Lepisosteus oculatus: one gene and its partners. The protein of the gene in region 3 purifies or fractionates together with the protein of the main gene of each other region. This does not show direct contact. Links are inferred from orthologs where the notes say so. Each region holds a gene or a part of one and is shown on either strand. Other genes may lie near its edges.

Region 1 (7,685 bases), on a different chromosome or scaffold from region 3:
GCAGTGCAAGAAGGAAAGAAGAAGTTCATCTCGCCAATGGGGGGATAAAGCAGTCTGCATGGAGTAAAGCTTTCAAGAGCAACGCCGTGTGGGAGGAAAAGGTTTGGTTTATTGGGGATCGGTGGTGCGTAGGTTTCTGTGGTGCGGTGCTTCGGATAACTTTTAGTTTTCAAATGTTTTCAGTGGCTCAGGATCTGAAAGGGTTAGGGTTGACTGGTGTCAGTCGTGCCCACGTCCGACTGGAGTTGATCTTCAAATAAGAGCAGGACCGTGGTTTTCCATAGCTCTTTTTTTCCTGTAGTAATTTCTGTAACGTGTAAAACACGCATTTAGAAGAAAATTGTTTAAATATTTGCAGATACGTAAGCGTATTATCAGAAAGTAAGACGGCATCATTTTTTACAGAGTAGGATAGTGACACCTCCAGTAAAGTAGTCAGTGTTCCCATATCGTGAGCCCTAATATGGTCGCCTTGTTACCAACACAATCAATCATGTGAAACAGTTCCCAATCTGTCGTTAACGATGGACGATATCATTTGGCACAATAAGCTACATGGTTCATTTAATGACGTTTCTTTCATTTTTACTCTAAGTCGTACCTTTCCTTGGTGGTGAGGTGATCTGTTTTCAGAAGCAGGAATATATTTATACTTGGCTTTGCACTATCCCGTTATTATTTCAAAATTGAAACATGTTCTAAAATCATATTTTCTTAAGAACACATTTGGCCTGTTTTGGAATCATCCCAAGATGATTGTTTCCTGGGATGACAGTTTGTTCCCTTTCCTAGGTTAACCATCCCTGTAGTGTACGTGTTTGAGTTCAAAGTGTTCATGTGTGCGATACCTTTATCTGTTGAAGAGCATGCAAACCACTTATTTTACTGAAAATTAATCTTTTTTTCCCTTCCTTTTTTGCAGGATGAATTTTTAGATGTGATTTACTGGTTTCGGCAGATCATTGCAGTGATTTTAGGGGTCATTTGGGGAATTGCACCTCTAAAAGGATTTTTGGGTATCGCAATGTGAGTCACAACTTTGCAACCTGGTCTGTACCTAGTTTCTCATTCACACCTTTCTGTTCTTTCCTTACCTGTATCAGCTCTGCATATAGTGCATTTGTCTCCCTTTTAAAAATGCAAACTGTTTTACAAACCAGTCCTGAAAAAGTCAAGCAACAACAACAATGTAAAGTTAAACACGTGGCTTCGAAGGAATTCCTTTACATGTAGTGGCTGCTTATGTTCAGGGCATTGTTTTTGGAAGGGCAAATAAAAGGTGTATTCATCCATATCAGTTACATTTGTGCTTATTGTTGTGTTCTCAGATTCTGCATCATCAATGCTGGACTCCTTTATATCTACTTCAGCAGCTTTCAACAGATTGACGAAGAAGAGTATGGAGGAACATGGGAACTAACTAAAGAGGGCTTCATGACCTCGTTCGCACTCTTCCTGGTATTTAAAACTCTGATATCCTGTGTTTCAAAATTGAAGGAGCAAAAATGTTATAATTCCAAGAGGGTTATTCTGTTGAAATGCACAATTAGGCACTGGTGTATATCTCCTCTCCTTAATGCAGACCTACAGATTGAATTATCCGGACCTGGATAGCTTAGTTCATTAAACGTTTATGTAATGTGAGTGACAGAACACATCAGTAATATCCATCAATGTCTTGTTTTTTATGACAAATCTGCATAGCTGGATATACTAAACTGATAGTCTTTTAAAAAAAGTGTTAATAGTTATTATTAACGATATCAAGGTAAAACCTAACTGGCCAATTTAAAATAATTAAGCTTACATTGAATTAAAAAGGGCCTGGAGCAGATATGGGACACCAGCACCAGCACCTGAAAGTGCAACCCCAAACCCTGCTGAGCTGGAGTACTGGTCAAGGAAATTACAAGTCCAGAATCATCCGTGTCCAGATGTTTTGAATCATATTACAAAATTCTTAACACCGTGCAACACTGTCGCTTGACAGAGCGTATAAAATAATAAATTATGGAAGGGGTAACTGAATGGGTCACGAATGTTAAGCCACTATGTTAAACTGTGCATATAAATTGATATAATCGAGTCAGGAATAGCTACAGACATGCAATTATTTTTAATGGTATCCTACTGAAATTATATATTGTGGCTGTTTCATGTGCTGGTATGAGACTGATTTGATTTGTTTTTTTTATTATTTAATCATTTAATGTTCAAATAATACATTATTTACTTAGATCTGTATATAGCTGAGTCGCAGTGTTGCAGTAAGATGCTTCCAGTTTGCATGAATACAGGCTGGTTAATTCTGCAGGAATATGCTTTCTCCATAATTAAACGAGCAAAACAAGTACTGAACTTATACATAAATGTATGGTGAAAAGGTGATTAGGTAATTCTTTCCCATTCATATTGCAGGTTGTTTGGATCATATTCTACACAGCTATACACTATGATTGAAGAAACACGAATCTCTTTTGCGGAAAGACAAGATGGAACATCTTAGTTCATGTGAAACGTAATAAGAACTTTGAAGTCCAAGGTGTTTTTTTACCAATATAACACATGATCATTCAGGAGGGAGTGGATTATGAGTATTTGACAATGGCCTTCACAGGCTGAGATTGTGCAGCAGGTTTTTTAAGCTAACACTTTACATCCTGAACATTTTCCAAAAAGCCATGGATTAATTTTTTTATATAAACAAATAGCATTGTATCAAACACAGTTGTAGTTGTTTTATATAATGCTTTCCTCAAGTAGCTCCTTGATCAAATCGGATGTCCATAGATTTTAATTTAAACGAGTCTGTAAAATATCTGTACAATTTTCATCTTAACAAAAGAAAATGTATTAAACTGATTTGTTTGTATATTGTTATTTTGTTGTTTAATTTGCAGAACTTGACCAAAGGTATTCTGATGCTATTCTAAACCGTTTGGTTAATGTGGGCATAGAAGCAGACACTTTATTACACAATATATACTGGAGGCAGGATCACTCTAGTTGGGGAGATTCAGGTGTAAAATGTTTTTTTAAGGTTGAAATAATCCCCTTTGGAATTGTGTTAAACCATGTGTTGTTGTTTCAAACACTCAGATACAAATGTAAGGGGCTTCCAAGAGTCTTAGTCAGTAAAGGTGCCCCTATAGACTGCTGGTTGAGCCCGGAGGCCCTAGCATTGCAAGTTGAAGCTTGGATCATGTCCCCATCAGCACAATTGCCAGGACATGGAAAGGACTGAGTGGGGTTGAGTCAGCCAAGGTCCCCTTGGCATTAGTGACACCTGCAGGCATTGGGGGATATGTGCACTGTTTCTCCAGTTGGTACTTGTTCTCTTGTCCAGTGTTGTCATTCCATAAATTTTAGAAAAATAAATGTTGGAATTTGTAGATCAATGTAGAGTTATTAAAAGTCAGGATCCTGTAAAATGGAGTAGGCTTTTTTTTTAATTGCAAATGTGCTTCCTAGGTTTGGATTTCCCCATTTCTGAGGCAGAAAAAAAAACGAACTTTATTTCTTGTTTAAGCTGACACTACTACTCTTGTTCATATCACATAAGTAAGAAATAATTGCAGTATTTTGTCCGGCTGCCAAATATTTGTGGACATCACGTTGGTTTTATGATATCAATGTTATCTTTGTGTGGAAATGCAGAAAAGTTGATGAACATTGATGAATATTTTTCTTAGAGCTGTATTTAGCTTTTATACATGGTACCTACTGTTCATCTGAAATCATTGTCGTGTTAAGAAATTTGCTTGTCCGTGTCCTCAGTTAATGCTGGTGTTGTTCTATGCTGGTGGAGGGCTTCTGGTCCTGGAGACTGAGATGTAAACAAGTCCATGCATTTTAAAGCCGTAGACCACTGATAGTCATGCACGATCCTGCAGAGCCACCATCCAGCAGGTTTTATTCATGCTTCTAATCATCGATGAGTAAATTGACCTCTTTTCCAAGTGTCTAAATTCTGACATGTTTTGTTTTGTCCTTCAGTGCCTCTTGAAACTTCACTCATTTAGAATTTATTTTCAAGAGATATTTTTAGTGGGTTAAGGTTTGTCTTTATAAATGAAAAATTTGGATCTGCATGCATACCGACAACTGTATTGAAGAAGCATTTGATTTTTAAGAAACTGAAACATTTAATTATGCAAACCAAACCCGTTTTTTTAGACGCATCAGTGACTGCCGCAGCCGAACTGCTTGAGGGAATCTTCAATTTTCCTTAAATTAAACAGTTCTTCTGTTGACAAAACGCTGCTTAATAGTACAACGCATTTTCTGAAATACTATTATTAATTTAGGTAATAATTGTTCATATCTGTTCATACACAAACCTAATTCGACAGCATACTTTGCTCAAAGCAATTTCTCTGCTGGATAAAAAGCTGTTTAGCAGCTTTTTGTATATCAGGAAAACTCCATTCTGATAGTACTTTTATATAGGTTTTCTTAGGATGTTTTGTAAGTGACTTGGTGAACGTCATTTCACTAGCTATACCCAAATAAAAATATACTGCTATTTATACACAAATTTAAAAACACAAATCATTTAAATGGTAACAAATTATGCAGCGAGAAACACAAGATACCGGAACAAGGAAGGAGATTTACAGATAGAATAGTTTGTAGGCAGCGCTGCCTCAGGCTCTATTTAATGTTAAAAATTAAACATTAAACAGAAGGTCGCCTTGTCTCGACAGGTAACCGGCAATGATACTCCTTTGCAGTATTCTTCGGCCGATGTTGTTTGCCTACAAATTCAAACCGTGAGCCAATGATCATCACCCATTCCCGGCGGGAGGCAGTCTTATGTGCCTGTGTAAAGTTGGTGGAACCGGTTTTGCGGCTTTCGCTCAGCCAATGCCGGCTGCCGTGGGCTGGGTTTGTTCGAGTTTAAAATGCCAGATAAAAAAAAAAGTCATGATCTCAGAAAACTGGTAACGCGCGATACTGTGCTGAGCGTAGGGTTCAGAGTTAGCATGGCATTGTCTCAGTGCCTCGACGATTTTCCCATCCCGGGCCCGACCCGGTGCAGGAATAACCTGAGTCCCCAGGAATTGTACAGCGAAGCGCACAGACTGGCTTTGGAAGAGCTGATCTCTGGGGGCAAAGAGTCCTATGTGGAATTTTTAAAGAAAGAGAAGATACCCAATTTCCTTTCCAGCGATGAAATCAGACTGATTATGGACTCGGCTGTGCACCCTAAAAACGTCTCTCTGAGCGGAGAGGATGCGGGCATGGAGCAGTCCGTGAGCAGCTCGATGGACTGCTCCTCTGTCACCTACTTTCCCGAGGTCTCGGACGTAGAGCCGCCGCTCTTGGAAATAGGCTGGCCGGCCTTCACCGCCGGCTCATTCCGAGGAGTCACTCGGGCTGTAGCTCACTTTCAGCCCAGCTATGGTGAATGCATCTATAGTTGCAAGGAGGCTGCTAGGCGAATGATAAGAAGCGCAAAAGAGGTAACAATTTAACACCCACATTGGCTTAAGTGGTACTGTTACTAATCTCAGTCGTGGTCGCTATGACACTGTCAGCGTTAGTTCCGGTTTCTATCTGCAGTAAAACGTTTACCAAAGGAGCGTGGAAGATTTTAAAGGAGTGAGAAGTCAAGACGGCGTCTTCTGTGATCGCGGCCGGTTGTGGTCGGTCGAAAATGCTATTTTGAGTTTATGGGCCAGGGCAAGGCGCAACAGTAAATGTGAATTAAAAGTTTCGCACGAATGTGACCTCATGCACAACAGACGTGCAGTCTAAAGTATACAGATACGCGACACCCCCACAAATAATACTGTAACCGGTTTTGAACTTCGCTTACAATTTACAAATATTGCATTGTAAAATGTCATTTTTGACCTTGCTGTATACTATCCGGATCGATATAACAGCGGAGGTCAAGGAGGATAACCCACACCCTAGCACTCACCTAGAAATGTACGTTAAATATTCTGTTACAGCTCACAGAATACCTGTAGTCACTGGAGGAACAAATCTCGTTAAGACGCATGAGCAGTGGAAAATTTAAATCCTTTCTCACTTGATGAGCCGCAGCAATTTTATCTGTGCGTTGTTTGAAGTGATAATACTACATTATCGTCGCGATATATTTTTCATAAATCACGCAGGTGATGTGCTTAAGAGTTGGCCTGTACTTCAATTAGTGCCGGGTTACAAGCATCTCGATTATGGTGATGGGAGAAGAGGCCTTAACAGCATGGGTCAATAAAGCGCATTTAAAGTCATTGATTTTAAGAACAGACAGCGGGACATTGAAATTTGTACTGATGACACCCAGCGTTCCCTGTAGAATAATCCCGCGGAATCAGGCACAACAATGATTGTCAACACGTTCTGATTATTTTGATTTGACCTTTTTTGCTTTTGATTGTATTTTTAAGGAATATGGTATTACCAGTGGAGTTGTTGTCCAGAAACCTAGACAGTGTGCTTTTTACCATTCTTATAACCATGGAACATGATTATACGATTTTAACAATCCTATATACCAGTCAATACATGATCTTTCAGATGTCTCCATAGGTAAAAACCACACGTGTTCTGCTTAGATGATATAGCTATTTGGGAGCCAGCTTGAAAAAAAACCCCAGTTTCTACACTTCTGTGCTGAAGTATTGGTAAATTGCCAGCAACAAACTCTTGAGAAGCTTTATTTGTACTGATACACCAGCATTCCTATTTTTTCCCACCTTTTATTCATTCTATTCGATTCTCGTTGTTAAAATTTGTGGAAAAAATATTCCTAAAAAGTTTCAGTGCTATTAAGTTGTGTGCACAAAACAACCATGCGGTAGGTGAGTGACATATTTAAAGGACTTTCATTGCTCACACTCTTTGTATAACGTTTTAAGATGTAAATGCAAGGGTTTATAAAAAGTGGGACTAAAAAAATGACAGGAAGGGAGTATAGACATGTTTGAACATATTTGTGCCATGCCTCATGTTCACTGCCATATGAATCACAATTGCTTATCAGACAGAATGTGTTCCCATCACTCTGGACACCTGGATTGTCAATTACCAGCCCAGGGCACTGTAACATGAAAAGCCCACAGTGTCTTAGGCAGTTATAGTCAAGGCCGTCGTTCATACATGGATGATTTGTATTTCACTATTATTTTAGGACAAGTCAGAAATTGCAGCACTTTCACATTTGGAATTTGTAGGAGTTGTCTTTTGCTGTCTATTGTCGATTATGCATTCTTTTCCCTCTTTTCTCTGGAATGTACAGTAAGTGAACAAATTTCCAGAAGGGTATAAAATATTAACACTAGTAGACTGGAAATTCCTGTAGAAGTTATTTGCTAAGAGTAAAATGTTCCAACATGCTGAACACTCCCCAGAAATGATAGCGATTTTTTTTTTCCCACTTGCAAATATGTTTAGTCTACACATACTATGGACAGGACACTACTTGCAGGTGCTTTACTAGTAAATTAAAAATGTCACAACTAGAAGACTAGATGGAAGTCTGCCTTTCAATGTGATTTGTCTGTGCCGAGATTCACATCTAAACATTTTCAGAATATAAAAGAAGACAGAGGGAAGTTTCAGGTTTGTGTAAAATATTTTAAGTATTGGTATTTGGTATTTTATATTTGACTAAATTGTACTCCAGCTCTGTAAGCAAGTTGAGGCATGGAGGCTATATTGATGCACAGAAG
Region 2 (7,552 bases), on a different chromosome or scaffold from region 3:
ATGTACTCCTAGACACCCCGCAGGGTTTATAAGGGCTACAGTCGGTGGAGGTTATCAGAAACCCTCTTCAGGTTTGTTAGACAGTGTTTGTAAAAAGCACAACTGCCTGTCAGCTGGTGAACAGAGGTTTCGCGATTGTGACATCCCAATATTCTTCCCTTTAAAGTGGATGTAAACTTGTTTTACATAAACAGATATAAGAAGGGTTGAAAGCTGTTAAAAGCCCATTAACTGCAAAATAGAGTTTGGGCATTGACCTTTTACCCACCCTCTTTTGACAGTCACAAAGATCTGGGGCTTGAGGTTTAGGGGCAATGTACTGTTTGTTGGTAATCGTAGACTTACGAAATGAGTGTTTTATCCAACAACATATGGAGTACGGAGCTATAGCAGATTGCATCAAAGCTATGCCAGCCACAGGCTCACACTCCTGCCACCCCATGCCCCGGGCTGCTGTGGGTCCGGACAATGAAAGACATTGAGGGCAGCAGAACGGTTGCGGAATGATGGAGACTTTTTTGTAGAATAAGTAAACATCCGCAAAGTTGCAAAACTAGAAATTGACAAATTCTAGCAACTTCCAACAGACTTCAGTCTCCTCTCCACTATTCTTCTTTAAGGCTTCTTAGAACCTTCTGACCTATGACCTTCTCACATCTGCCTGTTCTGGTTTGTTTGCTGCTAATAGTTGATCAAATTAATTCACTTTATTATTCAATTCGACATGATAAAATGTCCTTTATGGATCAAGGGGTTCGACATTTTGCATAAGGGCAAATATTCTGAAACTGCATCTTCAGTGCTCCTGTCTATTTCTGGCTTTTTTTTTATTTGTAAGATATATAATGATAGATATATTAATTATTGAGACACGCTGCCTTTGACATGTGGGTGTTCATTCCCATGGAGTAACTCCAGCACCCTATAATTTACAGCGCCAAGAATGTTATTTAGAATACCTAAATTGTAAACAAAGTAAATTAATTTCTTGAAGTTCCCTAAATGCGAGGCATGTTTCTTCTGTCACTGCTGTGTTCCTCACCTGCTGGTGACTGGTGCTCTACAGACAAGGTCCTGGCGACTATACAGACTCTAAGACTAGACTCCGTTAAAACACAGAACTAAGGGCAAAACAGGACACAAGTCTGGCCCAATCAGTGGTCTGCACTGGCCACTTCTAACTTGACAAACACTGATGAAATGGGGAGATATCAGGGACCTGAGGGAAAGGAAATGTTAAAGAAAAGCAGGGCACAGTATTGGCAAAATAAGCTCACAAAACAAGCTTCATTTGGTGGCATATCTATTTTTACCTTGTTCCATTATTTCAGGATTCATTTCTCTCGTCTTTGCCCTTTTGAGCAAGCCAGTCCTCTTCAGCACAATTTACTGGATCACCGTGAGTCACTGACACAGCAATCCAGTTCAATTAAGTCACTTCCTAAAACGGCTTCGCTTGTTTTCCCCCATTTCATATCTTAAATGGATGTGATGAGTTTAAACGGTCAATCTGTTCAAGCACGAAAATCAAATATAACATCGTTTATAAATGGTTAACAGTTGCTGATCCATTTCAAACGTCTCCAAAACAACACGTGGAATTAAACCGCACCATATTTTCTTGGCTCACTGGTGCGCTACAGAAAGAAAATCAGCAAATAACAGGGGCTCTACATTTTGCATAACAGCAAATACTCTGAAGTAATTCTGTAACTGCATCTTTAGCGCTCCGGGCTATTTCTGGCTTCCACTAGTTTCCCGCCTGGATGACGTCAGTGCAAAGTTATTTTCATGAATGGAGGGGGCGGTCACGAGGAATCGGTGACGTAAGCGCTTGCGGAAGCAGCGAGTGGAATGTTGATACATTGTTGTTGTTTTGTAGCCGATCGGGAGTTCTGAGACGGCTCGGGCCGAGCGCTGGCAGGTCTGTCCCGGTGGAACCAACCCCAGCTCGTCCGCGGACACCGCGAGGCGTCCCTGCGCGATCCCGACACACACGGTCCGCGCTCACAAGGTGAGGGGACGGGAGGGGGGGGGGCGACATGTTTTGAAATTCCTCTTTAAGTCGCTTCTGTTTACATGGTGACGGACTTGCGCTCCGGCGGAGAGCCGATGAGGGGTCCTGGTGCGTCTTCGGCAAAACGGGACCGAATCTTCCCAATTAAGCATCCTTTCGGTAGCAAACGCTGGGTGAAGTAACGAAATGTGTGTGTATTTCTTAAAGATTGGGATAACATTTCATACTCTAGTGGTGACTCACCAGTGAGTTTGAACACGTGTTAGCAACAAGGCGAGTTCAGTATTAATTCCTAAAGCTAAATGTTGCAAGTGAGTATATCTGCTGTTTGAAACAATCTGATATTCTATACTTTATAAATAGCCTACTGACTGTATTTAGCTCCAAAAGTATTTTTAAATAATAGCTAATAATACGCATGGGGGTTTGCAGTCTACTGGAACACCAGATTATAATATAGCCCACACGGTCGGAGATACTAGTGGGCTGTGAAGGTGTTGCGAGACCGATGCCCGTGCGGTCGCGAGAGAAGAGCACGTGCGCCCGTGCGGAGCGGCTGCTGGCACAAAGGGCAGGGCGGCGCGCGCCGTGGGTCCGGTTACGGATTCGGCTGGGGGGGGGTGCGTGGGTTCGAGTGCAGGATTTTCTCCCCCGTGAACTAAGTGTGGGACAAGAGCGAGTGGACGGGGGCTCTACTGGAGAGGATCCGCGCCCGGAGCTCGCTGCGCGTTTTCTGGCTTGTTCTGTTACGCATGAGCCTACGGTCCCAGAAAAAGAAACGCAGCTCAGTGATTAATCTTTTGCCGTTCAGTTCATAATTTGTTCCGATCTCCCAGTCATTTTCCTGACAGCTAGCCTCCCTTCTCAGCCCGGTCACCGATGAAGATGATAACGATGATGCATGTGCTGTAACTTTGAAACGCCCCGATCACAGATCATTCCGACGCACTTGGATGCTTCACGGACGGAGCTGTCAGACACATTAAGCTTCACAGTGTAGAATCGAAGTAGTTTCACCTTGGCGACAGATGAGTAAACGCGTTTTTATACGAATCCGAATATGAGCTTTTTTTTTTTATTAACGAATGAAAATGATTTCAGACCTGTTGCTGGTCATTTTTAAAGACGTCCCCCACCCCCCTACAGAGATGATGGGACGACGCAGACTGAGCGTGTGCGGTGTCTGAATTTGAAAGCCCGACAACTTCAGGTTCAAGCCCAGATCGTGCCATTCCTGGGGGAGACAGCGTTCAGCAAAGGAACCTGTCGGATCAGCCACATATTGGAGCGACTCCAGCCACGCGAAGATTTGATAACCTTGAGATGGGCGTCGTGTATATGAAATAACAGAGCTTTAAATTCTTTGTAAAATTTCCAACGTCACCTTGCAACTATTTTGTTTATGGTTATATCGTAAAACGAAGCTACTCTGTAATTTCCCCCCATTTTCTTTAGAGATTTAATACTTAAATGCCGATCCTACTTTGCCGATAGCGGGGACAAGGCGAATAACACCCAGAGTTACCGCAGACCACAGTACCTGGAGCAGTGTTCAGTGTGAGAAGGGTCTGTAGCTTCGGGAGTATTGCAGTTTGAGGGGGGTTTACTGGATAATCAAAGCTTCCTCTGAAGCTGAAAGCGCAAATAATAAAACCATTAAAATATCTTCACCTGCCCTGGAAGTAAAGACATTTAAAAATCAGTCTTTCACATGAGTATTTCGAAGACGACCATGCCCGTGGCCGTTCTGCTTGCTAATGGGGAATCCCACGCATGTGCGCCCAAGAATAGGCTGTTCTTGCTATGCAGTCCAGTACTGAGCTTCTCTATACCAGTGCGAGGGGTTACACCCTGCTGTTTAGGAAAGGTGAGTCATAACTGGTTATTGTGAATCACTTCCACTTTGGCAGATAACAGATCTGACTTTGGTTATTCCTTAAAAAAAAGTAAAGACGCCACGTTCTCTAAAAATACATCACCTCATACCCTTAACCTGTTAGTAATTAAGGATAGGTGCCGAGGTTGAGCTCTTTGGTGCCGTCGGCAGAAAGATCTAACGAGCAAGGAAGGCTCAGCAGGATAGTCAAGATCAGATTAACGTTAGCGGGAGCTTGGGAGCCATCGGAACTGTGCGCACACCTTTGAAAGAAGATGTGCCAGTTTCTGGTGCATTTTGGAATTAATTTTAATTTGACCTTATCCTGCCTACAAGAATGTGAATTGGCCCTTTCTGCTGACAAGGCTGTGTTTAGGTGAGCGGTCCTGGGATTTTGCAGTCCTTCTGATCCTACAAATAGGGAATAAATAAGAATCGGACACAGACAGCAGTTGGTGAATTCAACTTGTTTGGTGAGAGAGATCGGAATACCTCTACGTAACGTAGTCCAGTCTGGTTTGTTTGTGGGGCGGTCATCGATGAGCTCCTGTGATAACCCGTCTTGATTCCTCTGCCTGGCACTTGCATACTGTGCAGTAAAGGGTAGGGTTAGAAAATGAGATATGGCTCTGAGCCTTGTTAATGATCGATTTAGGGGAACTGCTGTCTGTGAGGGTAGTATGACGAAATCTTGAGTGATTATGGAGGAGGAAAATGGAACAGACTGTTCATTTCCAGGCAAAGAAGCAACATCTACAAGCCTGACAAAGATGGCCTGAAGGTGGCCAGGTCCTCCTCCTATTCAAGATGGATCAAAAGGAGTCAGGTTGGGACCCTCTGCTCATTTAATTGTGTACTAATGATCCATGCCATCATTCATCAAGAAAAGGGCTAGTGTTATTTAAAAATATACTTAAATAATTGATTGTATAATCTCTTAATCTGAGAACTGCCGAAGAGCAGTCTCCACCCAGGGGAGGTTCATGTGTAACATCATGTCTCTGGATCCATTAGAGACTCAATTATGGCTATGTTGTAAGCTGTAAAAAAAAAAGTACATATAGAATTAATGTTGGCTGTGGCCAGGACTGAAATGTGGCTCGGTAGCATCAGTCTCTGTTTCTTGGATACATTATAAATGACCAGTCAGATATCTTTAAAATACCATTTGGAATACAGACACATCTGTTCTTAAACGCAGAGGGCGCTCTGATTATTAACCCCTTGTTTAATTGGATGGAATTCTATATGAACTGGAATCCAGGCAGGAGGAGTATCTTTCTGCCAGTCTTGTATCTCTCGGAGTGGGAAGATGGAAGTGGTTTTAAAAGAGAGTGCTGGAAGAAACAAAGCCTTGGATTTTCAGCATCAATGTTGAAATTCAGCGGGCACAAATCAAAACATCTTTTGGCAAAGTTAATTTTGTTTAGATGCTCAAATCATTTTATGACGGAGTGTTTTTGCGATGGAAAAATGACTGAGGAGTATTTTCAAGTTAAGGTTGCGTACAATATCTCTGGCTTGAAGTCATCTTGTTAAATGGCCTTTGCAGTCCTTAGTAGTTGTACAGCAAACATTTGGCACGTGACCACAGTTTCCCAAAGAAAAAAACAACTTTTAAATACATTTATGCAAGCTCCATCTATTTTGCTAAAGCACATTGTTTTAAGTTACAGTTGTGCATGATTTGCAAGTATGCCAGAGCATTTGTCTAGAGAGCTACCTTCAAGCAAACTGCTACTTGAAAGCATCAGCAGAAAGTTTTACACCACTTCTTCTCTGATCTCCATTTCTCTGGCCACTTACATGAGCACCAGTCAGGACACAGAGTGTTCCATTGGTGTCTCTCAGAGACAATGGTGTGGATTGTGCTTCCCAAGACCGGGCAGGCTAGTATGATTTCAAATTACAGCTTGGAACTCAGTCCGTTTCAAAACTGCAAGCAATAAAGCTCCTATCGAAGGAGCCGCGTGGGTATTATCTAAACTCTTTTCCTAGGGTAACCGTTTTGAATTTTATTTCAAATCTGGCCCTTGGCCAGGTTTTTTTTTCATACAGCGAAGCCGTTTGACAACTCCCCTAACGTGGGTGTTGAAGTCATCACCTGAGGTATATCGGCTGGGATACCCTCCTGCTGAAAATGCATTGACTTCTAACCACTTCGGAATTCCACAGGAATACTGTTATGTTGTGTAGTAGTCTAATATTGTGTAGAAAGAACAAGATGAACCTTTTCTATAACTATCTGCCTGTGGGTCTGTTGTGTTTACTGTATATTTCCTTAATGTTTCTCACAAGAAACTGACATTAAACCACAGTTTTTTCCATTTCAAGCTCCATTAAACACAGTATTTTAATGCCCCTTAAATAGAAAATTCAGGGCCAAACAGACTTTTTAGAGATCAGCTTCAGGAAGTATATATACGTATGCAGGTCCCAAGACAAAAGTGTGAATTAAGAAGAGATTACACTTTTATACAGGTCATAATGAAACTCCAGTGTGAGGTGAAAGCACAGCTTTGGTTAACAGAGAAACTCGTAATAAGCATATGTAGCAGTCTTGTGGTTTGACGGGGATTGAAAAACTCATAGTGATTCGGAAAGGACAGTTGTTAAGCGCTAGATGGAAACAAAAAGCACAAAATATTGAAGACAGAATAGCTGTAATTTTCATGATAACTTCCTACTGGTGTAGCTGTTATTGTGTTCATCCAGTCCATTTATAACTTCAGGTTTTACAGTTCTGTGATGTCGTATTGTAGCTCAAGAAAGCCAATGTAATTACTTCTCAGCATTCACATTTTTAAAACTAAATTTGTCTAATTGTGTACTGGTACATAGATATTTTATTGGAATTCCACGGGAATGCTGCTGTGGTGTGTAGTCTAGTATTGTGTAGGATTAACAACTTTTCTGTAACCATCTGCCCGTGAATCTATTGAGAAATAACTATCTGAGAAAAATCCTAAATTTGTTCTTAAATAAAAAAATAACCACCCTGTTGAAATACATAACACAAACTATCATTAAATGTATTCACAATTTGTGCTTACTTTTTTTATTTACGATCTGTCCTTGTGTTTTGCATGTAAAAATAACGTTTGGTTTTGTTGACAGTGTCACGTTGCAACATGCCCTACCCAGTATTCTATATTATCTCGTAATTGCTCACAGTGGCGTGTGTAGACATCTATATTTGCATTGTGAATTTCCCTCCTGAGCCATTGATTTACTGGATTTGAGACCAGTTGCTTTACCACTTGTGGTCAGAGTGTAAAGCAGGATTTGTCATTGCGATTGGGCAACATGTGGTTAAGAATAAAAGAGCAAGTGGTATTTCTATGGAGAGCTAGGTGGCCCGTGTGCACTTTCTCAACAGTGCATTCCATGTTTGTCTCATTGTAAAATCTGGAATGTTTTCCTCATGGGTACATCGCATTCCTTTAAATTCCTGCATGTTCACTTGGAAAACAGACCTGCAGTGAGACTTTTTTTTTTCTACCTCTCTCCGTCTTGGAGTTCCAGTGGACCAGTCTCGCAGATTCCTGGACTTTTACTTCCGTCCGGTAACAAAACTGGATTTTTCAGGAAATGTCAGCTGCATGGGTGTGATTTCATGCCCCTGCCTTTTGCTCTTACCAGTAAACAGCATGATTCAC
Region 3 (7,932 bases):
GCACCTGATCTGGGTATCTGGACTTATTTTGCTTTAGGTAAGTAGGGAGGTGTTCAGACCCAAGCTGGATGTCCTGTTCTCTGACACATGCCAGTACTTTATGGGATGTTAAGAAACTTTTTTAGATCTTATTCAATTGGTCACATTCCCCTCAGAGAGGTCAGCTTCCAACAACTGGAGGATCTGGACATGCCTCATAAATATAGATTGAGCACTGTGGACATTTTAACAGAAGCCCAAACAAGAAAAGTGTGGAAACACACATCCACTGCATTTTAGTGTGACATTCACAAAAACTTAGACTGGAGCGCACAAACCTTCTTGTACCACCAGCTCCCAGCCCTCACTGTGTTGGAATGGCCTGTTGTGAGGAAGAGACTTTGACCACTCTCTTGTGGTTTTCTATGTTGCTAAGGCTTTCTGGGCCCAGTTTATAGGCCTTTTTGCCTAGCTTTTCCTTACCTCTGCTTTCATCATGCTTGGCATCTCTCCTGTCAAACTACCCCCCAACATCTTTGACAGGTTTTGGGCTATAGTAAACAGTGAAAAAGACACCCCCTGGGAAGTGAGGAATATGGGGGTGTCAAAAGGCATCGAAGTTCCAATCAAAGGAGTGGGTAGTCTGGCGCTATCCATTATTAAAGATAACTATTACTTCTGAGAGGAAGGAGGAAACAGAAAATCTGTGTAAAATAGAGGAAGTAGGATTGCATCTCAAAACTCTGTAATAATGAAAAGAAGAAGCATGCAAGGAAAAATGTAATTTCTCATTAAAAAAACACCAGCAAATGTTCTTCAGAAGATGATGTATGATATACGATCTAATTTACCTGAGCAAATATACTTTTCTTTTGGCTTTGTAATCTTCTCTGAACGTGTGCATATATACTGTTTTAGCTATTTAATATTGTCAAGTTTCTTCTTTGTGTTATTCTGTATCTATTTGTGAAAGGAAATAAAAGTTCTTAAAAATCAAAATCCAGTATGTTTTTGGACTTTGGGAGGAAACCAGATCACTGGGAGGAAACCTACACAAACATGGGGAGAACATGCATACTCCACCCAGATAGTACCCAAGGTCTAGAATTGAACCCAGGGTCCCAGCGCCGCAAGCCTGCGAGGCAGCAATAACAAATGTGCCAGTCGGGTTTAACCTAAATAAAATCATAAAATATCCACAACAGCTGGTAGAAAATGGCAGGGTCTGGTATTCATTTTAAAATCTCAATGTAATGACTTAATTGATTTAAGTGAGCTCACTATTTGGATAGGATCAGACAGTCAACCTACTTGTAAGATCACCAGTGAACTGATGCTTCGTTGGGTTTCATTTGCTAAACGTTATCTAAAAGTACAATCTTCAAGACTCAGGTCCTTGAGGACAGGGTTCCTATTCTCTGACAGTCATTACAATGTTAATTCCAAATGTACGGTCAACTGACTGATTCCTATGACTCCTGGCAGAGCTTTCTCTTTAGGGCTGTCTTGGTATCAGTTTGCTGAGGTGCACTTACTGTATCCTCAAGGAATTATGTTGTTGATAACATCTGACATTTTAAGACAAATAAATTGTGGTGCTCTGCACAAACATCTTAAAATGAACATTTCTGTTTATTTTAGTGATGTTTACACTATTCAGCGTTGCTCAGTTTTAATGTTATGACATATTTATATACTCAGTTGTACACAAGCCTCCATTCATTCACTATCTAAGCTACTGGATGGAGTGTACACACCACACACTATTACTAAGACCAGCTGAGAGCCAACCTATTATATGAATGGGGTGTAGTTGGACTGCAGATAGTTCAAGTTCCATGAGACCTCCTGTTCAACCTTTTCTTACTGGTCTCAAAGGACCATATGATTACTCAATAGGGATTCCTGATATCACTATATACTTTTACATTAATTTTAATTTAGAGATTATTTAAGTTCAAATGCCTTGTTTTTAATCTTGTGTTGTTGTTTTTTTAATTATCCTTTATACAAGCAGAAGAGTACAATGCTGTCAATTTCATACTTTCAATGATTGTTACACTATGAAATGAGGAGCTTAGTGTATTGAACTGAAGAATTCTTTTTTTAAAATCACAGAAAAGGAAACATACTTGCTTTGTTTCCTCTGTACTAATAATTCTTCCTGATATTTGAGAGACAAATGAACAGTTGATCTGTTTCTGTCCTTACCCCTGTGACTGTGTTATGTGTAATGTACTGTACAAAATGTAACACTTTTGCCCAAAACATCGACTTACTTTTACACAATCCGGGAAAATTTATTTCACAATTCAGCCAATAACTCCGAAACAACCATCAGCTGATCGTGGTTTCTCCAGGAAGCTGCATGGATGACAGCATTGGCGGTGACCTTCAGTTTGGGCACTGCCCCTTAAGGAGAACATCTGCTTGATAAATATGGATATAGGTTCAATCAAAAATTACAATCACACATCGCAAATATAAAAGCACAAGATGTATCCTGCAAGAGGAATGCTATTTTACTATTTATTAACTTAGGCTTAACTTGGCTAATGATTTTATCCAAAACAACTTACATTTGTATCCATTTATATAACTGTATATTTTCTTAGAGCAAATATGGGGGAGGTACCTTGCTCAATGTTACTACTGCAGCGTCTCATCTGAAGTTTGTACCCACATACCTCCAGTTAAAAGTCCAGAACCCTAACTACTGCTCTATCCTGCTTCCAATGTTAATAAAAAAGTATAAAAAGATACAGAAATTAATGTTGTTGCCTGCGCAAACTATGAAATTAAATTTGACCAGGACATGAAATACTGGGAACCTCACAGTGGCGCACTGTGCATTGCTGCCTCACAACACTGGGGACTTGGGCTCAATTTCTGGGGTGCTGTCTGTGTAGTTTGAATTTTCTCTCAGTGTTTTCTTCTGTTTTCGTCAAGTTCCAGTTTCCTCCTACAGTCCAAAGACATACTAGTAGGCTAATTTCCTTTTGGGAAAATAGGCCATGATGTGAGTATGACTATGTTTGTGTCTGTGTGTGTTCTTTGACAGCCAGGCAACCCATCCAGGGTGTATCCTTGTGTCCACTGCTTGCTGGAATAGGCTCTGACTTCCCCACAACCCTGTGCTGGATAAAATGGTTACAAAATGAATGCATGACAACACCACAAGATCTCTGTAAGATCTTTTTAACACATTAGTTTAAAGACAAGAGCCTAGGACATTAACAGTCCCAGCAAATAAAAAAATACACATCTCCCAGAACTACAGCTTTTTCAAAACAGAAGTCAAATGTGTAAGCAGCAAAACTGTAAAGGAATCTCCTAGGAATGTCTTCTACAGTTTTGCTTTTCTAAGGCAATCAACTTAATAACCACTCTTGTCTTTAGTCTCATAATCACAAAGCATGGTTTTCTGCGACAAAATTAGTTCTTAGAGTCTATCTTAAAACCAAGCGAACCAAGAAAACAGATAAAACACTAGATGCTGCTGCTTTTAACATCTGTAGTACCTCAAAAGCAGTATTGCCTAAAGTTCAAGATAATAAGAATTATCTTGAAATGTCTAGCAAAATGTTCACAGAAAAATAACTTACATTTCTGCGTGGACACACCTCGATATATCTCATAGATAGCTGGTTGAGCAGGTCCTTTCAAACAATCGCTCCTTGTATACAAAAAAATCTCATTTTTTATTTTATTGTGAACAACTGTAAGTCACTTTTCTGATAGATAATCAAAAATAAGTAAAATCTGTCATAGTTCACAAAATGTTAGAGCATAAAACACTATTGGAAGAATGAGTAGGTACAATTCAACACAAAACACAAATTTAATGCACATAAAGCAAAAAGACAAAGTTACATTCAAATGAACACTTTAAGGTCAATGTAGAGTGAAATTAGCATTTTTTTTCTTTCAAACCCACATTATATCACATCTGTCAACGTCCGCCTCCATTTATAACTTTCAAATTCAGTTAGAATGTGCCAAATTATTGGAAGCCAGAGATTCTTAATAACACTTATTTGTCACAGTCAAGTTACTTTTAATCTCACCTAATGTACAACTGGATCTTCAAATCAGACTATTAATTGGCTCCTTATATCTGCACCCATTCAGTACAAAACTCTTGTTCTTAGTTGCTCCTACCTCCAAGACATTTTTTAAATGCTGGATTATTCGTCTCTTTTCATTCATTTCTAACGTCGTCCTTCCCTTCATTCTTCTGACTCTAAAATTGTTTCTCACATTTCTAAGCGGAGGTTGCTGCCCTAATCAACCCAATGGCCTTCCTAAGAACCAACAATGAAGCAAAACTAGAGGACACGTGATAATCAAGAATAAACATTTAAGACAAAAAAGAACTAAAAGTTTTAACAGTGTGGTTGTAGTCTAGTACCTTTCTACATGGTTTTGACCAGGAACATTTAGAAATAGAAGATTTTGAATTTTATAAAACTTGCAAGTCTCAGAAAGGTTTTAGTTTATAGCGTTTTTAAAAACGTTTATAATTACTGACACACGTTTAATACCCGAAATACCTGTACGGAGGTTGTTCCTAAGGTGCTTTGAATACGATGTGTTTAAACCCCCGAGTCCATGTTTAGGTAGTATTTTTATTATCATGCATTACTTTAATTTTTTCGTGTTCTCACTCAGTGCAAAGCACTTTTGATTTCTGTCGCTCTGCGACCGTCCCTTGATAGGAAACTGATCGTGCCAGCCTTCTCTGAAAATGTAAAGAAAAAAAAAGGACTCTGAAAGTAAACCCACAAAGCCACCCAGTTGAAGCTTATCAGTGCCTGAAACCGGAAGTGAGGGTTTATAAAAATACACGAAGCTGGCAGCCATTTCGGCCAATAGCAGGAAAGAGCTGCACGTTAGAGGGCGGGACGAGGACGCCCTGGGTTAAAGTCACATGATCGCAGCCCGAGCGAAGGGCTTGCAGTCAGGCAGGGTTCTAATGGGGCTAGGTAGTAGGAGGATGTTTACTGCCACAGCACGGGGCTCCTTGGTAAAAGTCCGAATCGATTCTTGCTGAGGAGATGTGACAGGTTAGTAAGACTCTTTTGGCATTCTCTCGCATGTCAGGGTTAATGTAAACAGGGATCGAAGCGCTCGGTGCCACGGAGTGTCTTGCGATGTGTTGTGGTGGTACGGAGGAACTTTGCAGTTGTCGGGCTGGGAGGGGGCATTTGGGAGAATCCCAGCCTTTAAAGTTTCGGTAGGCCCAGCAAATGTCACGGTGAAATCTGTAGCTGTGCACGCCAAGATGTGTATTTGGTAAGGCTAATTTGGATTTTGTCGTGAGTGACAAGCTAAATTTGTGTCTTTTCCTGCAGTGGTAGTTTATGGTTGTTAAGAAATTCCTTACTCGGGCAAAGAGGATGATAGTAGTAGAGACTTATTACGGTAGGAACACATGTGATATTTAGCTGGTGCCATTACTATTCGTTACAAAATGACCTGTGTGTTTCGTGCTAACTGGACATCTACGAGAAATCATTTAAACAAAACAAAAACGTGGACGATCGTAGTGGTCTGTTTGGTCTGTGGTTAGTAAAGTCTGCCATCTCAGGATAACTATCTTCCTGTTTATTTCACGTCCCACTTTTCTTGTGTAACAGGGTTTCATCATCGAGAGGGGGATCAGAGTGTACACACTGATACAGCATGGCTAACCGTGGCATCTTAAACTATTCGCCTCAGCTAACGTTTCTGGATTACAGAAACCCGAAAATATACGGTGAAGGGTGTCGTGTGCCAAGCAGTTTAAACAAATCCGGGATTCGCGTTGGGATGCGGGGAAAAATACTTTGTTTCTCTCTTACAAGTCACGATTTAGAGTATCTTCTTCCGCACGAGTTCAGTTGGAGAATATGATGTGGCATTACATATCTGGAAAGACGTTACGCAAACCATAGATAAAATACGGGTTGTATAAAAGCAAACAGAGCAGGTTTCTCTTCCTCTTTTTCAAACCGCTTAAAAAAATAATATCCAAGGAAATATACATGAGCTGCAAGAAAAAGGCTACCATGAAATACGAAAACGCGAAGCTTGGGGCTGAAGGGCTAGCCTTTCTAGACACTGTGTAGATTATTATTTTAGTACCTGCACCGTTCACCAGATGACATGATGCATATTTTAACAGTGGAAACCAGTCTCCGACATTTGTTTACATGCTCAAAAAAAGAAAAATACATCACCCTTTTCAGATACCTTCATCATACACTTAGCAGTTACAGCGACTAGACTACTATTGTCTCGTAATAATATATCAACGAATGCTGCCTCGGTTAGGTAACGAAGTTGTTTGCGGGAACTAATGAACGGAGAAGCAGGAAAATGCTTGTTCATCCTTTATCAGCAGAAGCGAGTGAGTCAGCACGCTGTTGCTTAACCACACTGCATGACTTGACATCGCTCAGCTGTAGTTGCGCCAAGCTGCAACCTGCTTCATTTAATGAAGCGTTGATCTTATTTTAGGTTTTAAATCGCATTGGCTTAGTAGTAGATATGCATATTATTTTAAATGATTTATACTAGGTCTTACGTTGTTTTAAAGTTGTAAATATTTTTTTTCTCATCTATTTTTGAAATATCAAAATTCACACATCCACCCATTTTTTTTACCACTTCATCAAATTCAGGTTCAAGGGGGAGACGGAGCCTATCCTGACAAGGAGTATGCACACCCTAGCCGGGACTCCAGTCCATTACAGGACATGTATACTCATTCCCATAAGCCAGTTAACCTGCCAGTATCTTTTCGGACTATGGGAGGAAACCAGATCATCCAGAGGAAACCCACACAACATACAAACTGTTCAGATAGCACCCCTGGTCCGGAACTGAATCCAGGGCCCCAGCGCCGTGAGGCACTAGTCCAAAACACTATGCCCATAATTCACACATTTGCTTTCACGCATAGAACAACACTGACCTCCTTGATAAGATGGAATACAGACGTGCAGATGTTTTCTTTCACACTGTATAATACAATCAAATCTACCAAAACTGAGCCACAGAAAGATGTGTATCAGAGATGAAATACAAAACCTTTCTAGTTGCAAGTCTTGAGGTCTGCCTGTCATGACTGCATCTCAGACTGATACAGGATCTGTCTGCCTCAGGAACAGCTAGACAGACTGGCTTCTCAAAGTCTGGTGTAGATTAAGGGAAGGCAGTTGGATCTGTAGAATTTTACATTTACACTCTGATGTGTGGCTCTGGAAGTATTTTATGGTTTTGTGTTGTATTGTGTACATGGAGGTGACGCTGTAATTGGGCAAAGCTGAATAGTTTTTTATAGTAGTGGCAAGTCCTCTGAAAGCAAGCAGTGTAACACACTAGCTGGCATAAATCCTTTAACTCTGAACTAAATCATCCAAACTGACTGCAGTGACTGCTTGTAGTTGTGGTCTTTTTTTGGAAGGTACAACACCTGATCCATTTTCAGATTAGTTATATTTTTTCTGAAGTGGGCAGTGACAGCTTCCGCATTATTCCTTGAGTAAGGGAGGTGATTGAACCCTAGGGTCACAGACACACCTCCAGAGGCTTGGTGCTGGCAGTTGAAATGAGCTCCATACCTCCACTACACCCATGAACCGGGTGCAGGGGACAGCCTTGAAAGACCTGGCATTTTCTTTTGAGATACTTGTTGCATTTTAGCACCCACAAAGAGCAAATCCAATTGAATGCGTAGTGCACCCATGTAGAAATCTCCAACGTTTGATAGCCGCACTTCAAAAAAACCTTTCACTACAACATTGTGCAACTCAGACAGAATTTTGAAGTTTGACTGCGACAATGTTTTGCATTTTCTTGCAGTTGTACCGCACAATGACTTTCGAGAGCATAAGGACGTCGACCTTCAGTTACCAGTCCTCGATACACAGCTCGCACGTCCTTCTGTGCCTTAACGAGCAGAGACAG
Region 4 (6,990 bases), on a different chromosome or scaffold from region 3:
TCAATTTATTTGGGGGTGCACAGCTGTACATAGTATCCTCTCATCTCCCTGTTTGTCAATAAAAATGTGTTCACACACATAGATAAAACGTGAAGCCTCCCTTGCACGTCACTAGCAAGCACACTTCACAATTCTGAGTATCACTTATGTCTAGATAAAGAGAAGTGGAATAGAATGGGAGATATGAGACACTTCTGTAAAAAGAAAAGGTTTTTACCTGAAAATGGCACTGTGCCCTGTAAATATCAAAAGCTGACAAGCTCTGGGATTTGTGCTCATTTTCTTTCCTAACAAGTCACACTCTTAAGTAGGCTTCAGTGCTTTCCGTTTGTTTGTGCTTGAGGATTTTTGTTACAGTCACAGCAAGGCAATGAAGTCTTGGCGTAATCCCTCTTTTATTCAAAAGGTTATACTCCACTGCCTCGCAGCACTCTCCAGCTAGATAAGTCGGCCTGAAATACCTTTTCATTTGCTTCTCATTATGCCTGTCGATGTTGCCAGGCTTTTGTGAGCTTCCTTTGATTCGGAGGAAGAAGAAGAAGAGGCGTGTGTGAGCAGTGCCAGCAACTTTGATATGATCTCTCAAAGGAACTGCCACGGAGGATAGCCACTAGAGGGTGCCAGTACATATTGCCTCACACTATTTATAAAGGACGTTGGTTTTTTGAAATGCCACAAAAGAGAAATAAAAATGATCCGAATGCAGAAAGAACATAATTTTTTTTTCTGTAGTTGCGTGATTCTGAAGTTACTGAGTTTATTCAGTGTTTCTTGTTTTTGTCCTTAAAAACATCTAAATATCCACTTATTTCTTAGTTTTGTGGCTTATTTGGTGCAGCCTGTGTTCCACAGTTGCTTTAGAACCTATTATCGGAGGAATCTACCACTTTGTGATATCTTACATAGCTAAAAGTGCATGCTCTCTTTGTTGTATTTGGGACCTGGAATTTTGAACAGATACATAATAGTTTTTTCCTCATTAACAGTATACAGTTGCTGTGTCTTTGCTTCCAGCAAGTTAAGACAATGCTTTATTCCATTGTGAGCTGAGCAACTGACCTACATGTATCTAAATGTAACCAGATGTGAGCACATTGTACAGTATGCTTACATCTCACTCATTGCCACAACAGGTTGTAGAAATGCTCTGACATGGTTTGGATATCTAAAATATAAACCATTCAAAATACACATGATGTGAAATAATCACAAGCGCCAGACATCTTCACTAATGTCACTCGTGTTTGAAACGTGAAATTTCAATTTTAGCTCCCCAGGTTCATTGTCAGGCTTGATTATGTTCAAATGGGCCAAGTCTGACATCTGGTGGAAAAAAACATACCTTTTACTTTGTGCAAGGAACAGAAAAAATAAGCTTACAGTCAGAGATTCTGTATACTTCACTGACACACTGTTTTAGGTATGTCTCTGTGAGTTACGCAGTTGAAATATGTGTTTCAAAAAACCAGCTTAGAGATCAAATCAACACTTGATACTAACAGCAATTTTGCTCTTGCTTTGGCACAGACTTCTCGGAAACTCTCATGTTAACATGTTCTCCATTACATTACATTTAGCAATGAATTTGGGTTTTTGCAACCTCACATTTATCAATGAAAATGTTGAAATATTTTTGGTCAGTGCAGAAGGCAACATCGTGTCCAATCCGACCGGGGACTTGTCTAATCAGACTTTTGCTGGAGTTCTGGCAGGAGCGCACTGCAGACAGCGCCTGACCTTTCGGCAAGGCCACGCTGCAGAAGCTCTAAATTTAAATTAGCAGAAATAATAAATGAGAAGAGGCAGCCCATTCGATCCACTATCGTGCAGATGCAGCTGGGCTGTGTGAGGAAGAAGGTCTAGCTTGGTTTTACGACCAGTAAAAACCATTTCCCTCCAGCGACAGTGAATCATCACTTTCGCTTCCCCCTGCTGTCTCCTGTGCTGTAACGGTTTCGTGGACGGCGGAGCGGACTCCAGAGGGCTCCCGGTTGATGCTCTCTGCCGTGGAATACATTAGTGGGCGATCAATACAGATCTATTAAAATCAGTCGTGGTCAATGCACTCGGGTATACTGTTCCTGTAAGTGGGCCACCATTTCATCAAAACGCAGGATTGACATGCAGCGGTTTTTAAACACGTTGGACAAGCAGCTTGGATCGCACACTGGCCAGCTCTTGTGATATGATTGTGGCAGATTGGAGTAGTGGTTGGGCCTCTAGGTTTTCAACTGGTGGTAGATTCCAGTTCTGGGGGGGGAGAGACACTGTTCTTGTTAACCTTGAGCAATGCACTCAGTCTGCTGCAGTAAAGCACCCAAGTAAACTTAAAGACTTAAATGAACGAACCCAGGAATCTTGGAGCTTAACACGATCAGTAGGTGAAGTCCGTCACTCCGATATAAACTCAAATTGTCTGAGCTGTTTTTAAGAAAAAAAACTGCAGAATGGGCCTCCTTTGCAGGAAAGCATTCCACGAAAAAAAAACCCCCAAACAATTGACATTTCTAACACGAGGCTGGTGTTACCGTTATTAAAGACATATTAAACACTGAATGTGTTAACATTAATCTGTTTCAACATATGTTAAACATTAATCTGCTTTTTGTCATTCTACAGAGAACATTTGCATGCACACCGTCAGCAAGTTCTTGAAATATCAATATAAGGCATACAAGCATGTAAATAAGCAGTTTTTCAGGTGAAGTGTGTAAATGTCTTTAAATTAAAGGAACAAGGAACACATTAGCCATTTAGATTGAAAACGTGAAGAGGGTGAATATTTCCCCCATTTTCTCTCGCCCTTAGTTTTAAAAGATAAAGTTGGTTAAGGCAGCAAAAAATACTACTGTTCTTGACTCCAGTGAGGTTTGGACACATAGTGTATTGTGGAGTACACGCCGGATTTTAACAATCAGAACTGAGCGACAGGCCTGCATCGATTCAGACGCGCTTTCTCGTTCTCAACGAGGCTGTGCTTTGTAGGGGGTGATGGTCGCAGTTTGTACAGATTGAATGAATTGGGTCAGGCGCTTGTAGGACCGGTGGTTGCGAGGAAGAAGATTGAGTTTCACTGAACCCGGCGTCTGGGGAGAATAAAATGTAATTGCAGCTTTGTATTGTAAAGGCGAACGGTCCCCCAAATGATCCCTAAATTTAAGTCATTGCATTGAAGCCTACATCCACTCCTGCCGCCCTCCCCCTCCAACAAAACTAGTTAAGAGAAGAATGAGGATATTATACAAGTCATCTGCTTTCGCTTTGTGTGTGGACCCAAAGAGAAATGTGTGTCGTAGTTCACTTTTTTAAAGACAGATATTATATCCTACGATAAATTTTCTAGATTGCCCGGATTTACGTGTCTCGAACCTATTAAAAGCAGAGAGGTCACGCAGACTTTAACATTAAACTGCCCTGCCTACGTGTACATTGTGCAAGTGATTTGCCAGTGTATGCGCAGCTCCGCAAAATGAAAACCACATGTGATAACAGACATGATTGTGAAATGTTTTTTTTAAGAAAACAAATTGTTGCGCTTGACAGTGGTCCAGAAATCACACACACACAAAAAAAGGTGGGAAGGGTAGGACATGCACGGCCTCCATTGAAAGATAAAAAGGGCAATTTGTTTTGATAGACTGACGAGAACATGCGCCGGCATTCCCGAACAGGGATCCGAGATCCCGGCGCCTCGGAACGGCAGCCTATTGTTCTGCGCTTGCCTCTTTAAGACATTCCTGGGAAGTGCTGTAATGTTTCTGCTTATGGTGCGCAGATCCCATCAAACCACAGAGCCGAAAAAGGAGCTCAGGTTCCGACAGTCCTCTTCGAAAATGCTTTGCAGGTGGGCTGTCCCGTTTCGAGCCCCCCTGTTCGGCAGAGCCGCGTTCACATCTGCCCCCGGCCAACCACTGGCTCGCTGGACACACTTCTGTTGCGTTTCCCACTGTTACACTTGCGAGAGAAGAGCCCCCCCCCACCAGCGGCGTTTAGTACCCCGCTAAAACTGGCGGAATGTTAAATATTTTGTTTTGCCATTTGCTGCGCATTTCTCTTCAGACTTTCCCTTGCGTACTGCTCTGAGGAATGCTTTACTCCGGAAAGTCACCACATCGCACGTACTGCGCAGTGTCTTGTAACGCACATCAGGATAACGGTCAGTTATAATCTGGGAACAATGTAACTTTTAAAAGATAAACTTTCTTGAGGCTACCCCACCTATACATATATATTTGCTTTTTCGACCTGTCTTACTATATGTAAAAAAAAAAGCGGCGCAGGGTGATTCCAAATTCGCCAAAACACACCAGCTTGTCTCGAAAGCCACAGCTGCTAGTTAGTCCGTTGTTTTGTTTTTGTTTTTGTTTTTTTGGAGGGGGGATACGGGTTTGGGGAGCCGGCTGTCCCTTTAAAGAGCGAGTTTCGGGAGGTGTGGAAGAATGTGCTTTTTGGAAAATATGTGGCCTCGGTCCCTTTAAGCCTTTTTGCCAGTTGCGTAGATCCTTCATGAATGAAACCACGTGACCAAACATCATATGACGTCTGGCTCCGGCACAAGAGAAAGGGATCAACAAGGAGAAGGCGAGGGAGTAAATTTTACAAATTACCCAGAAATAGAGGCGCCTCACTTCCAAATACTCCGATATCAGACCTCCGGCGGTGGGGAAGAGGGTCTCCCTTGAGTTTGGTGAGTCCGATGGCGGGTTTACTTCGATCGCGGACGGCACATTTGAAAGAGATGTGTTATTTTGCTGAGTGTGCACGCCTTTGCTTTGCCTGTAGATCTGTGGTGTGTGCATGTCGATGTGTGTGTGTGTGAGAGAGAGTGCATTAAAGGGCCAGACATGCTGATTCATCACGATTGGGTCATTAGGCATGCACGGCGAGTGCGGTCAGAACCGTGCAGGCACAGGGTTTTTAACAAAAGGATAAGGTGGTTGTAAAATCTCGGTTTTACCGGGGAGTCCCCTTGGTCTGGGACCTCGCTGGGCGAGAGCTGGCGCCGAGCCCCTGTCAGTCACACTGGCAGACAGCGGCGTGGAGCGTGTTGCCGAGAAATGTGTAATGCATCTGAGCTGGACAAACCTGCTGTTTCATCAGAACGGGGGCCGTGCTGAAAAACGGGCGAAAGCCGGGGCGACGGCGCTGTGGTAAGGCGGAGAGAGAGGTCAGGCTGGCCGGCTTTCTGGGAAGGTAAGGTGAGCTCAGCATCGGCTGCCGTAGCGTCGCCTGGTGCCGCTGGCCGCCGAGACGAGTCGGCTCGCAGCGCCAACTCGTTCTGCCCGTCTCGAAAAATGTGATTCTTGCGAGCAGAAAGCGCTCCTTCAGTTAAGGGGGGGAAAAAAATGTCTTCGCTACAGTAAAAGGTGTATCGCTTCATTGTATCGGGGTGATCAAGAACAAACGTTTCACTAACAAAGAAATTGTTGTAATCTTACACCGTGGATGAGAATTTGAGAGAACGGTGTAGGTCGGAGCCCGTGTTTCAAGTCGTCTTCTCACACCGTGTGACCGTTATCTTATTATTATTATTATTTTTTAAAACTATAAAAATACTAAAGGCTTGTTTTCGATTTCGAAATCGGCTCAGAAAGTACCGTATGTGCTGATTCATCACAACGTTGAATTTTGAGGCTGAGCAGGCGGCACTGGACAGGCACTGCTGACATGGACCTGCGGACAGAGGTCTGGGCTCGGCGATAAGGATCGGTGATTTTTATTTGCTGCCGGTTTAGGGAGATGTGCGACGATGCCACAGGGCCAGCAGACGGGTCCGAAAGGGGCCATGTTAATCCCGAAACCCGCAGGGCCGTCACGACCACGAAATGAACAATAAACTTCTTGGTGGTATTTGGATTTTTTTCCCCACTTCAGGTCGAACTGTTGTGGGGTTGTGCTGTAAATCACAAAAGGGCAATGCATGTATCTGTGTGGTGTTATGTAAAACACACACACACACTTTCCTTTTCTCCGTATGAGAATATTTCCTGCTTCTTATTTTGAAGTCACTCAGCGGTGAACCTTAATGAGAAGTGAAACAGGTTACGCTTGCTGTTAGTAGATCGGTGTGGTACGTCTCCTTTTTTTTTAGATGGCCAGCTTGTGACTCAGGTCAGAGAATCGGATGAATTTTGACTGATTTCCATCATGGCCGAAGTGTTCCTCGATTATTGTGCTGGATTGTGGTTTCTATGCCTTACCCCAACACCTGGGAGAATTGTTGAATAGCTGAGCATATCCAGTGGGAGGCATTTTTACCTGTCCCGTTATGACTGTCAATGTCAGAAAGCCTTGTCAGAAACACTAGATGTTTGACTAAAGTTCACAGTTTAGGATAACGCCTTTCTCTTTAAAGGTGGCACTCAAACTGTTTTTAACGGTTTTGATCTGTAAAGCTGTTGCGAAATGGATGTTGTGCTTTATATGAGAAAGGCTTTGCTAGTTATTTTCAGCAGGTGATAACAGTCAGAAGTGGGCGAATCACAATCGATTTCCCAGACAAATATTTTGAAGTATGGCTGAAGGATGAAATGTGCCTTTACTGTCACTGGATGCAATGCTGAATTTGCTGTGATCTGGTCATTCTTCGCTTTTTTCCCCCCCAATACGGGACGGCGGAGTAAATGAACACCTTTTTGTCTTTCCGCACAGAAAGTTTGAGATGTAAAAATCTGGGGAGTCTGGATTGCCAAGTGGCTAAAAGTCTGTGTTTAGTGGAGGCATAGGCTGATATTTATGACATCGAGCGTCTCACAATCTTATCTAGATGCAGTCAGAAGCTCCAGACACCCTCATACTAGAGGATTATACCAGACCTCTGTGGGAGTGTAGTGCTGTCTATTAAAGTCAATACTGGTGGTCTGTAATTACTGTTTTTGGCCTTGTTCTACTTCAAATCAGTGTGTTTACAAGCTGTCTCTAGGTCTGTCTTGGAACACCAGGGAACAATCACTCCAAAAATAGTCATTCCTTATGTGTGCCAGCTCGGCC

Evidence for each region.
Region 1: the proteins of bach1b (region 3) and fam83d purify together in Homo sapiens (co-immunoprecipitation; 3 studies listed by BioGRID and IntAct, counting the BioPlex papers as one, with this or other methods). This does not show direct contact. The link is inferred for Lepisosteus oculatus from reciprocal best matches to the Homo sapiens genes BACH1 and FAM83D.
Region 2: the proteins of bach1b (region 3) and mafk purify together in Homo sapiens (affinity purification with mass spectrometry; 6 studies listed by BioGRID and IntAct, counting the BioPlex papers as one, with this or other methods). This does not show direct contact. The link is inferred for Lepisosteus oculatus from reciprocal best matches to the Homo sapiens genes BACH1 and MAFK.
Region 4: the proteins of bach1b (region 3) and mafgb purify together in Homo sapiens (affinity purification with mass spectrometry; 5 studies listed by BioGRID and IntAct, counting the BioPlex papers as one, with this or other methods). This does not show direct contact. The link is inferred for Lepisosteus oculatus from reciprocal best matches to the Homo sapiens genes BACH1 and MAFG.

Annotation. Positions count from the first base shown.
Region 1 is NC_090711.1:6,762,325-6,770,009, reverse strand, and holds the start of fam83d (protein FAM83D), read left to right. Parts: upstream 1-4,670; 5' UTR 4,671-4,904; coding exon 4,905-5,465; intron 5,466-7,685. Other genes in the region: rab5if (GEL complex subunit OPTI), read left to right, coding at 1-101, 923-1,026, 1,329-1,458, 2,419-2,460.
Region 2 is NC_090714.1:1,285,882-1,293,433, forward strand, and holds the start of mafk (transcription factor MafK), read left to right. Parts: upstream 1-4,542; 5' UTR 4,543-4,700; coding exon 4,701-4,719; intron 4,720-7,552. UniProt on the Homo sapiens protein: Since they lack a putative transactivation domain, the small Mafs behave as transcriptional repressors when they dimerize among themselves.
Region 3 is NC_090700.1:19,450,449-19,458,380, forward strand, and holds the start of bach1b (transcription regulator protein BACH1b), read left to right. Parts: upstream 1-4,917; 5' UTR 4,918-5,045; intron 5,046-7,827; 5' UTR 7,828-7,839; coding exon 7,840-7,932. UniProt on the Homo sapiens protein: Transcriptional regulator that acts as a repressor or activator, depending on the context. Binds to NF-E2 DNA binding sites. Plays important roles in coordinating transcription activation and repression by MAFK.
Region 4 is NC_090704.1:40,951,728-40,958,717, reverse strand, and holds the start of mafgb (v-maf avian musculoaponeurotic fibrosarcoma oncogene homolog Gb), read left to right. Parts: upstream 1-3,972; 5' UTR 3,973-4,510; coding exon 4,511-4,687; intron 4,688-5,100; exon of another isoform or gene 5,101-5,198; intron 5,199-6,990. UniProt on the Homo sapiens protein: Since they lack a putative transactivation domain, the small Mafs behave as transcriptional repressors when they dimerize among themselves.